Kluyveromyces lactis: one gene and its partner. The main gene of each other region encodes a partner of the protein of the gene in region 2 in a complex. Links are inferred from orthologs where the notes say so. Each region holds a gene or a part of one and is shown on either strand. Other genes may lie near its edges.

Region 1 (4,367 bases), on a different chromosome or scaffold from region 2:
AACAACGGAAGCAGATACAATTCCGATTCGAACAACAACTACCATAAGAAGTTTGATGACAGATCCCAACAGCAACAACAATACGGTCTATTTGCTCCAGCAGCTGGTTTCTTGAAGGATCAAAACAGAGGTGGTCATTCTTCATCTGGTGGTCGTGGTCGTGGTAGAGGTCGTGGCGGCAGAGACCGGGGTGGCAGAGGCGGCAGAGGCCGTGGTTCTTCTTCCACTGACTGAGCGTTTACCTTTTCATAATATCGAAATTTTCCGCAGCAATGCTGGCGCTGTCTAAAACGCGCATTGAAGTGCAGTTGAACGTAAGTGAAGGAAACCATATGCTCCTAAGCTCCTCGTTATTCATCATCTCTATCTGATTTTCACGTAGAAATTATCTTTCGGTAGAGCGAAAGCATCTATATGTTCGTCTTCCAACGAAGTACGACGGGATAAGAAAAGTTTCCTGTCATCCAAATCCCTTGCGTTTCACGCATCATTAATCATTATATTTTGTATAGTATTTGATGTCATTTAAATAGATTACATTATTAACATTTAAGAACGTCACCAACATCATTTTTACCCATACTGTTTTCTTGTTCTAAGGAAGATTCAGAGGATCATTCCTGCAAATAAAGCACTCGGCTTACTTCATTTATGGGTAAATCTGCAACACCGCTAGTTTCATTAGTGATGTACCAATCTAACTCCGAGAAGTTTTTGTATTCAACTATTCTCCCTTGAGTATCAGTTATCGTTCGCATATCATCAAGTGGGACCGTTAACATGTCAATATTATAGGAAAGCATTCCGACGTAAGTGAAAAGCATTGTCATTAGTACAAGACATTGGATGGCTATTAACCAATATCTTTGAGGTAATATCTCGTAAACTTCGGCTATGGCTTGTCCTTGTAGTATAATCTTTGGTAAGAATGCCCACACAACTATAAAGAAGACAACTAATGTGGATGAAACATATACGGAAAATCCGCCATACTGTCTTTCTTTATTCATTTAAAAACATAAGTAAGTGATAATGAGCGTTAATATATTTAGAGATGGTTTGAAGTGATCAAAGTGGAATCAAACATTTGATGGTTAGGTATTATTACTAAATTACTCTCTTATTTTACATTTATATAACGAACGATAGTGTTTATTGATTTTGTTCATCGATTTTTTTTATTTTAGTTTCGTACGCAGTCGACATAGGAAAGGCAGACGAAAATGTTTGAAAATAACGGTAAATGTCACATAGTAGATAAGAGGTGATTTTTTGGGAATCGGTTCGAGCTGGTGTCCTTTCCGTAACACTTGCCGACTTTTTCTTGCCAGTCATTATTAGAAAGATTTGTTTTTGAGGAAAACACTTAGGATTAACTCCTAGAATCGAATATGTAAGTGTTAATCTCCACAGTAGTAGTTACGAATAAAGACGAAGATTAGTAAGGGAAAGCTTCAACATCTGAAAAATATATTTGTTGAATCTCATGGCAAAAACACCCAAAGGACTCTTCACTAATAACTGTCCTTTAATAAGATATCATTGAGATGGTTCTTTTGGTAAGAAATGACGAGAATGTAAAATAAACACTGTAAAGTATTTAATGTGACTGTTAATCAAGCCACCAATGCTAAATTGAGTATGACATCGATATGTGATTGTTGGTAATGAAAACAACATATTGATCTTCACTCTTGTATTTGTTCCAGTTGCTGTTGTTGTTGTTGTTGTTGTTGTTGATTGGCTAGCTTTCTTTCTTGTCTGCCCTTCTTCATGACTTGTTTCAATGCGGTACTATCTAGAGGTTCTAACAACTCGAACGAACACAATAAACCTTCGCTCACGCTCATTACTGCACCCCAGTTATCAAATTCTCCGCAGTAATTTGGAGCAGAAAATACCGTTACCAAACTTCTATCATTGAAAAACTCGTAGCCGTCTTCGACGACCATATGTGCTCTACAAACTAAATCAAAGCCAAACTTATTCAAAAATTTGTTGATCGCAACCTTATTGTAACAGTAAGACACACCACGTTCGTTGTCTTCCCACTCATTTGGAGAATCTGTTGGATCCGACCATAAAAGGTCATTGATTAGACCAAAGTCTGGAACATCAGTAGGTCTGCTTACGTGTCTAATTTCATCCATTGAATTCAATACTGGTGATAATCCTCCATGAACACAGAAAATCTTCCCGGCTACGATCGCAGCTAGGGGCAATGCGTTAAATGTGTCAATGAATGTTTTCCAAGTTTTGATATTACACCGTCTTTTACATTCATCATAGAAACCGTAAACTCTTGTGACGTTTGCGCATTCATGATTACCTCTTAACAAGAAAAAGTTTTCAGGGTATTTGATTTTATAGCAAAGTAAGAGCAGAATTGTCTCTAATGACTGTTTACCACGATCAACATAATCGCCTAGGAAAAGGTAATTAGCTGATGGTGGGAAACCACATTTTGTGAATAATCTTAACAAGTCTGCGTATTGTCCGTGAACATCGCCCACAATTTTAACCGGTGGTGATAGTTCTAACAAAGACGGCTGTGAGAGGAATATTTCCCGTGCCATTTGACATATCTGCGTGATTTCTGAGTTTTTCAATGCTACTGACCTTGTTTTCTTCGCAGAATAACCGGCATCCAACAATTTTTGAATTGTTTCATCAATATCTATGGGCTTAATCGGTTTCTTTTTCTTAGGCTTACCTTCCGCGTTCAGTTCAACATCATTTCCAAGCCCTTCTGGATGATCATCTGTACCTCCGTTAGATACACCTCGGTAATCATTCCCATTGCCGTCATCGATTTCTCTTTGGCTTGCTCCAGCTGTATCAAAGTAGTCCTGGACATCGGGATCCATTGCATTTAGCCCAGGAGACGCCATTGGTGTGCTATATTGACCCATTGACATTGAAGATTTCCGACTATGAGTGCTCGATCTAGATGAAGACCTGCTCATCTGGATTGGTGACCCACTTGTGCTATTTCCATGGTTTACCATGCTTATGCTGTTTCCAGACTGCGGCACTTCCAAATGATGCGCACTACCATTAGACCTTCTCCTTGAAGACGAACTGGCACGGCGAGCACTGGAGCGGTGGCGTGATGAAGATGATTTATAAGATATCGAATCATCATTGTTATCATCGTAATCATCATCAGTTAATGCATTCTCATAGTACAGCGGGTTGTTAGTAGACCCTTTTAAAATTGGGGTCTTTGGAGCCATCTGAACCATTGAAGGGGGCAAATCGCCGGTCGTTGAAAAACTGGAAGATCTCGCAGTCTTAAGTGTTTGCCCATTTCTCTCGTCTTCCTTTGATGCACTTTGACTGGAACCGTGTCGTGACAAAGGAAGCGTACTGCTATTTTTCCTGCTCAGGGATGTTTCGTGGTTATTAGCCGAAAGCTTCGGCGTTCCTGGATTAGACGGCGATTGCAGCTGAGATTGAGATCGCCTTGATTTCAACGATCTGATGGACCTTCCTGATTTATTTGATTGCATGGTATCACTTTTTTGCAATTGAGGCGAAGTATCCTTTTTCGAACTCACCTCACTTGCTTTCGAGCTACTCCTGGATTTAGATCCATTGGAAGACGCAGATTCTATTTTCTTAGACTTGCTAGCCTTTTTAGATGGTTTCGAGCCTGAATTACCCATAGCTGCTTTATGATATTCCGTCTATTTCTTTTGGGTTTATTGGGGAGCTGATTTCTTCCTCAAGGCCGGTAAGTATCTATTTCTCAGATAACCTTCCGCGTACTAACTTTCTGTCGTTTCTTGATACAAGTATAAACTGATCTAAATCAAAACAGAGATCAATGAAGACGTCAAGACCGACTCTTCAAATAACAAATTAACGAAAGCAAAATTTCAAACTCAAATATAGATTTCACAATGAAGCAAACCAGAGAGTGACAGGGAAAATAGTCCAACGTAAGAGAAACAAATAAGATTATTCACAGTTGACCACTAACGTTTATCCAGTGATGCTCTTCAAATTGAAATAGTTTGGAAATAGCACACACGAGGGTAGAACTTGAATATATTTTCTAGTCACGAAAGGTAAGGAAACAACAATAAAAAAGTAAAAGCCTAGTCTCAGCAGAAGCACAAAAAATATAGTAAATTCCTACCGAGTTAAACCTTTCAATACTAGACCTTATTAATTGTCTAAGAGTTGATCTGGTCTTTTTGAAACCCTTCCGACTTATTCGCTAACATAGAAATTCTCTAAACTCGTACAACCCTACTTTATTTAAAGCTCCTTTAAAGAATTAGGAATCATACATTTTTCAGTTTTTTTTAGGGCCTTTAATCATCGTCATCATGTACGGGTTTGATGATTTTATCTGGCGG
Region 2 (4,317 bases):
TCCTATCTATTCCATAACTTTTAACAAAGAAGGTAACTGTCTAGTAACAGGTGGTGCGGATCAAAGTGTTAGAGTTTGGGATATAAAGAGGTTTACAAACGAGCCTGGAATGGAGCCGGAACAACAATTCAACACGTATTCAGGAGATATGGAACTCAGTGTAAATAACGATATCAAAGAATTCGGACGTAGGCGGGCAGTAATACCAACTCAGGATTTGATGGCTTCGTTCCATACAAAGAAAACAGCAATTCACAAAGTAAAATTCACAAGAACGAACCTAGTTTTGGCTGGTGGTGCATTTATTGAGTAAATGCGATTACTTTACTCAGCCAGATAAGGGTCGTTTATTCGACATATCTAGTAGTTGTCCAATTGTAATAAATAAAAAAAAAGAGAATGCGCTTTATCTTTATATTATTTACAATGAGTACGTATATTTTATGTGCATTGATATCAATGCAGTCAATGAAATGTAAATGTTAACAGAATCCTAATAACTAATCTAATATTGGTTTTTCAGCGTCCCACTGCTGTAAAATCGGATGTCCTTTATAATAGTAGCTTTCCCAGTGGATATAGTAATGAGGGATTCCAAATAATAGTAACAAAGATGATATTCCCAAAGGTATCGTGATCCCGACACCCATTAACTTCGTTATAAAATAGTAGACTGTACCATGTGTCGCAATAACACATAGTATATGCAGGAATTTCAACTTATTCTTTATGAAATACTTTTCCATCGTCGGCAGTAGAATGTTAATTTGGATACATATCAAAAGGAAACAGAAAACTTGGGTGGAGGTATCTAATCTTGAAGAAAGTACGGTCACATTTGAGAGTAGAATATTGGTCGGTAGGATTTTAGATTCAAGAGCGGAGATCGATATGATGTAAAAGGTTGTGAACCATGCAGATAGAGTCCAGATGGAATCGGACGAAGTTGTCTTGGACAAAGATTTAAGCACTGGAGATAAGGTCAACATTGCAAATATAATGATGATAGTGGATTTCCAGGGTACCCTCTTGTTGGCAACTATTAAGGAAACAGATGAAATTGAGGCAGCAATTAAAATCGGATTGTATTTGTAATGATAGAACCAGGCAAATATAATATAGAGTAACATAGTATTAATAATCATGTGGTAAAACTGGAAGAGATCAAGTAAAACAGACCTGTACGAGGAGTGAGGCCTCAAATGCCCATGTTCAATTTTCAACTTCTCCCATTGTTTGTAGAAACTTGGATCAGTGTAGGTATCTGGGAACGGCTGTTTCAACCACAATAACCGTTTCCATTGTTTCCCCGCAGCCATTAACAACTATAAGAGAAGACAATTTGTTATTCGGGAAACGACTAGCACAATATAGTCACTACAGTCTGGACAAAAGAAACCTGGAGATTTGCCGCTATACTCGCGATAAATCTCTGCGAGTGCAGGAAGTTACTTCAGTTCAACAGTCGTCGCTAGCTTTTTCGAATCATTAAAATTAGAGATTGATACGTAAAAAAGCTAATCCATTACAACTTAATATCACAGCACAGCCAGCGGGAGCACCCGCACAAGTAAGATACAAAGGATATAGCCTAACTTACTGCTCAACTCATTGCTACATATACCCAATGGATCAATCTAGCAGGGAGACATCAAATTCGTTTGATCAGGTAACCAGGCAATCTTCAAACAATGAACGAAGACCTACGGATTCTAAAGCCATACCGAGAACTTTACCCAAGGATACCGTTCCAGACGACGTACATGCTACACCAAAAGTGGATGACAAGGATAGGATATGGACAGATATAGATACACTAGATGATGTGAAAAGAATGGCCAGAGAGGGCAATACTGGCCTTACTTTCCCGGATAATTTCGAAGAGGATATTACCCGCTTACGCCAGATGCATGCGAACTTGATGCAGCACATGAAGAGACAATCAACAGAGACCCCAGGAAATCTTGAAGAACAACAGAAACACATCAATGATATCGTAGATACCATTGAGAGATATAACTGAATAAATACTTCAAATCACGTGATGAATCACGTGCCACAATTACCCTGACTTTTTGTTGAGTATTAGTGGAAGCTAAGGTTTCCAAGGACCACCGGTTTCTTCTACGTGCCTTTCACTATTTGTTTACTGGATGGTGCGAAACAAATAAAAAAAGCGGAAGCTGACAGAAATTACAAGTTGTTCCGAATAACGATGGGATATACGAATTGATGATTGAACGTAGTATGGAAAATAATAGGAACGTTGAGAAAAAAAAGGATTTGGTATTTTCCATCACCTGCGAATTTGAGGGAAATGGTTAACTTAAATCGTGGATTCTTTATATATATATATTCTCTGGTGAAGGTTCTTGATCAATTGCTTCTTCCAATTGGTATTTCGATTGTATTCTTGAGTCACGTAGAAAGGAATTTGTGATTAGGGTTTAATCGCTGAATTCTGAAGTGACCTTTTAACTGACCGTAAAGTACAATAAAAGGTTTTAAAGTTCTGTTAAGATAGATTCTAAAACAGAAATAAAAAGACAAATATCAGAAATGGCTTCTAAGAACACTTACTCTGACTTCAAGTTGGCAACTGAATTGCCAGCCTGGAACCAATTGCAATCTTTGTACGAACAAAAGGGTAAAAAGCTAAATGTTAAGGACGAGTTTGCTAAGGACAATTCTCGTTATGAAAAGTTTGCCAAGACGTTTGTCAATTACGATGGTTCAAAGATCTTGTTTGATTTTTCCAAGAACTTAGTTGACGATGAAATCTTGAAGTCTTTGATCCAATTGGCTAAGGAAGCTAAGGTCACCTCATTGAGAGATGCCATGTTCAACGGTGAACCAATCAACTTCACTGAAGGACGTGCTGTGTACCACGTTGCCTTGAGAAACAGAAGTTTGAAGCCAATGTACGTTGATGGTACCAACGTCACTCCAGAGGTTGACGCTGTGTTGCAACACATGAAGGAGTTCACCGAAGAAGTCAGATCTGGTGCTTGGAAGGGTTACACCGGTAAGTCTATTACCGATGTTGTCAACATTGGTATCGGTGGTTCAGATTTGGGTCCAGTTATGGTGACTGAAGCATTGAAACATTATGCTACCAACTTGAAGGTACACTTTGTTTCTAACATTGACGGTACTCATATTGCTGAAACTTTGAAGGATTTGGACCATGAAACCACTTTGTTCTTGATCGCATCCAAGACTTTCACCACTGCTGAGACTATCACTAACGCAACTAGTGCTAAGAACTGGTTCTTATCTAAGAACGGTGGTGACCAATCCCATATCTCCAAGCATTTTGCTGCTTTGTCCACTAACGCTACTGAAGTTGAAAAGTTCGGTATCGACACAAAGAACATGTTCGGTTTTGAAAACTGGGTCGGTGGTCGTTACTCTGTTTGGTCCGCTATTGGTTTGTCAGTTGCTCTATACATCGGTTTCGACAACTTTGAAGCATTCTTGAAGGGTGCTGAGGCAGTAGACAAGCATTTCGTTGAAACTCCATTGGAAGACAACATTCCATTGTTGGGTGGTCTATTATCTGTTTGGTACAACAACTTCTTCGATGCTCAAACACATTTGGTTGCGCCATTCGATCAATACTTGCACAGATTCCCAGCTTATTTGCAACAATTGTCTATGGAATCCAACGGTAAGTCCGTCACCAGAGGTAATGTTTTTGCAAACTACTCTACTGGTTCTATCTTGTTCGGTGAACCAGCTACCAATGCTCAACATTCTTTCTTCCAATTGATTCACCAAGGTACCAAATTGATTCCATCTGATTTCATCTTGGCAGCCCAATCTCATAACCCAATTGAAAACAACCTACATCAAAAAATGCTAGCATCTAACTTCTTCGCTCAAGCTGAGGCATTGATGGTCGGTAAAGATGAAGAACAGGTCAAATCAGAAGGTGCCACTGGTGGTCTAGTACCTCACAAGGTCTTCTCTGGTAACAGACCAACCACTTCCATCTTGGCTCAAAAGATTACTCCAGCTACCCTTGGTGCTTTGATTGCTTACTACGAACACGTTACATTCACCGAAGGTGCTATCTGGAACATCAACTCATTTGACCAATGGGGTGTTGAATTAGGTAAGGTTTTGGCTAAGGTTATTGGTAGTGAATTGGCCACTGATAACAAGATTTCTTCTCACGACAGTTCCACCAACGGTTTGATCAACCAATTTAAAGAATGGATCTAATGTGAGAATGCGATGCAATTTCCTTTTCACCTAAGATATGCAGTGAACTTAGAATTCCACATCTTTACGTACAACCAAACTAAATAAACT

Evidence for each region. Proteins that work in one complex are often made in the same cells at the same time.
Region 1: GPI2 (region 2) and GPI19 share a complex: the UniProt entries of both Saccharomyces cerevisiae proteins name them as parts of the phosphatidylinositol N-acetylglucosaminyltransferase (GPI-GlcNAc transferase) complex. The link is inferred for Kluyveromyces lactis from reciprocal best matches to the Saccharomyces cerevisiae genes GPI2 and GPI19.

What each region holds. Positions count from the first base shown.
Region 1 is NC_006038.1:87,389-91,755, reverse strand, and holds GPI19 (phosphatidylinositol N-acetylglucosaminyltransferase GPI19), read right to left. Parts: upstream 1,011-4,367; coding exon 615-1,010; downstream 1-614. Other genes in the region: PSP2 (Psp2p), read left to right, coding at 1-234; PPZ1 (salt homeostasis regulator), read right to left, coding at 1,689-3,668. UniProt on the Saccharomyces cerevisiae protein: Part of the complex catalyzing the transfer of N-acetylglucosamine from UDP-N-acetylglucosamine to phosphatidylinositol, the first step of GPI biosynthesis. Involved in cell wall biosynthesis.
Region 2 is NC_006041.1:2,090,684-2,095,000, forward strand, and holds GPI2 (phosphatidylinositol N-acetylglucosaminyltransferase), read right to left. Parts: upstream 1,320-4,317; coding exon 501-1,319; downstream 1-500. Other genes in the region: TAF5 (chromatin modification protein), read left to right, coding at 1-313; KLLA0_E23497g (DUF5315 domain-containing protein), read left to right, coding at 1,628-2,023; PGI1 (glucose-6-phosphate isomerase), read left to right, coding at 2,560-4,227. UniProt on the Saccharomyces cerevisiae protein: Part of the complex catalyzing the transfer of N-acetylglucosamine from UDP-N-acetylglucosamine to phosphatidylinositol, the first step of GPI biosynthesis.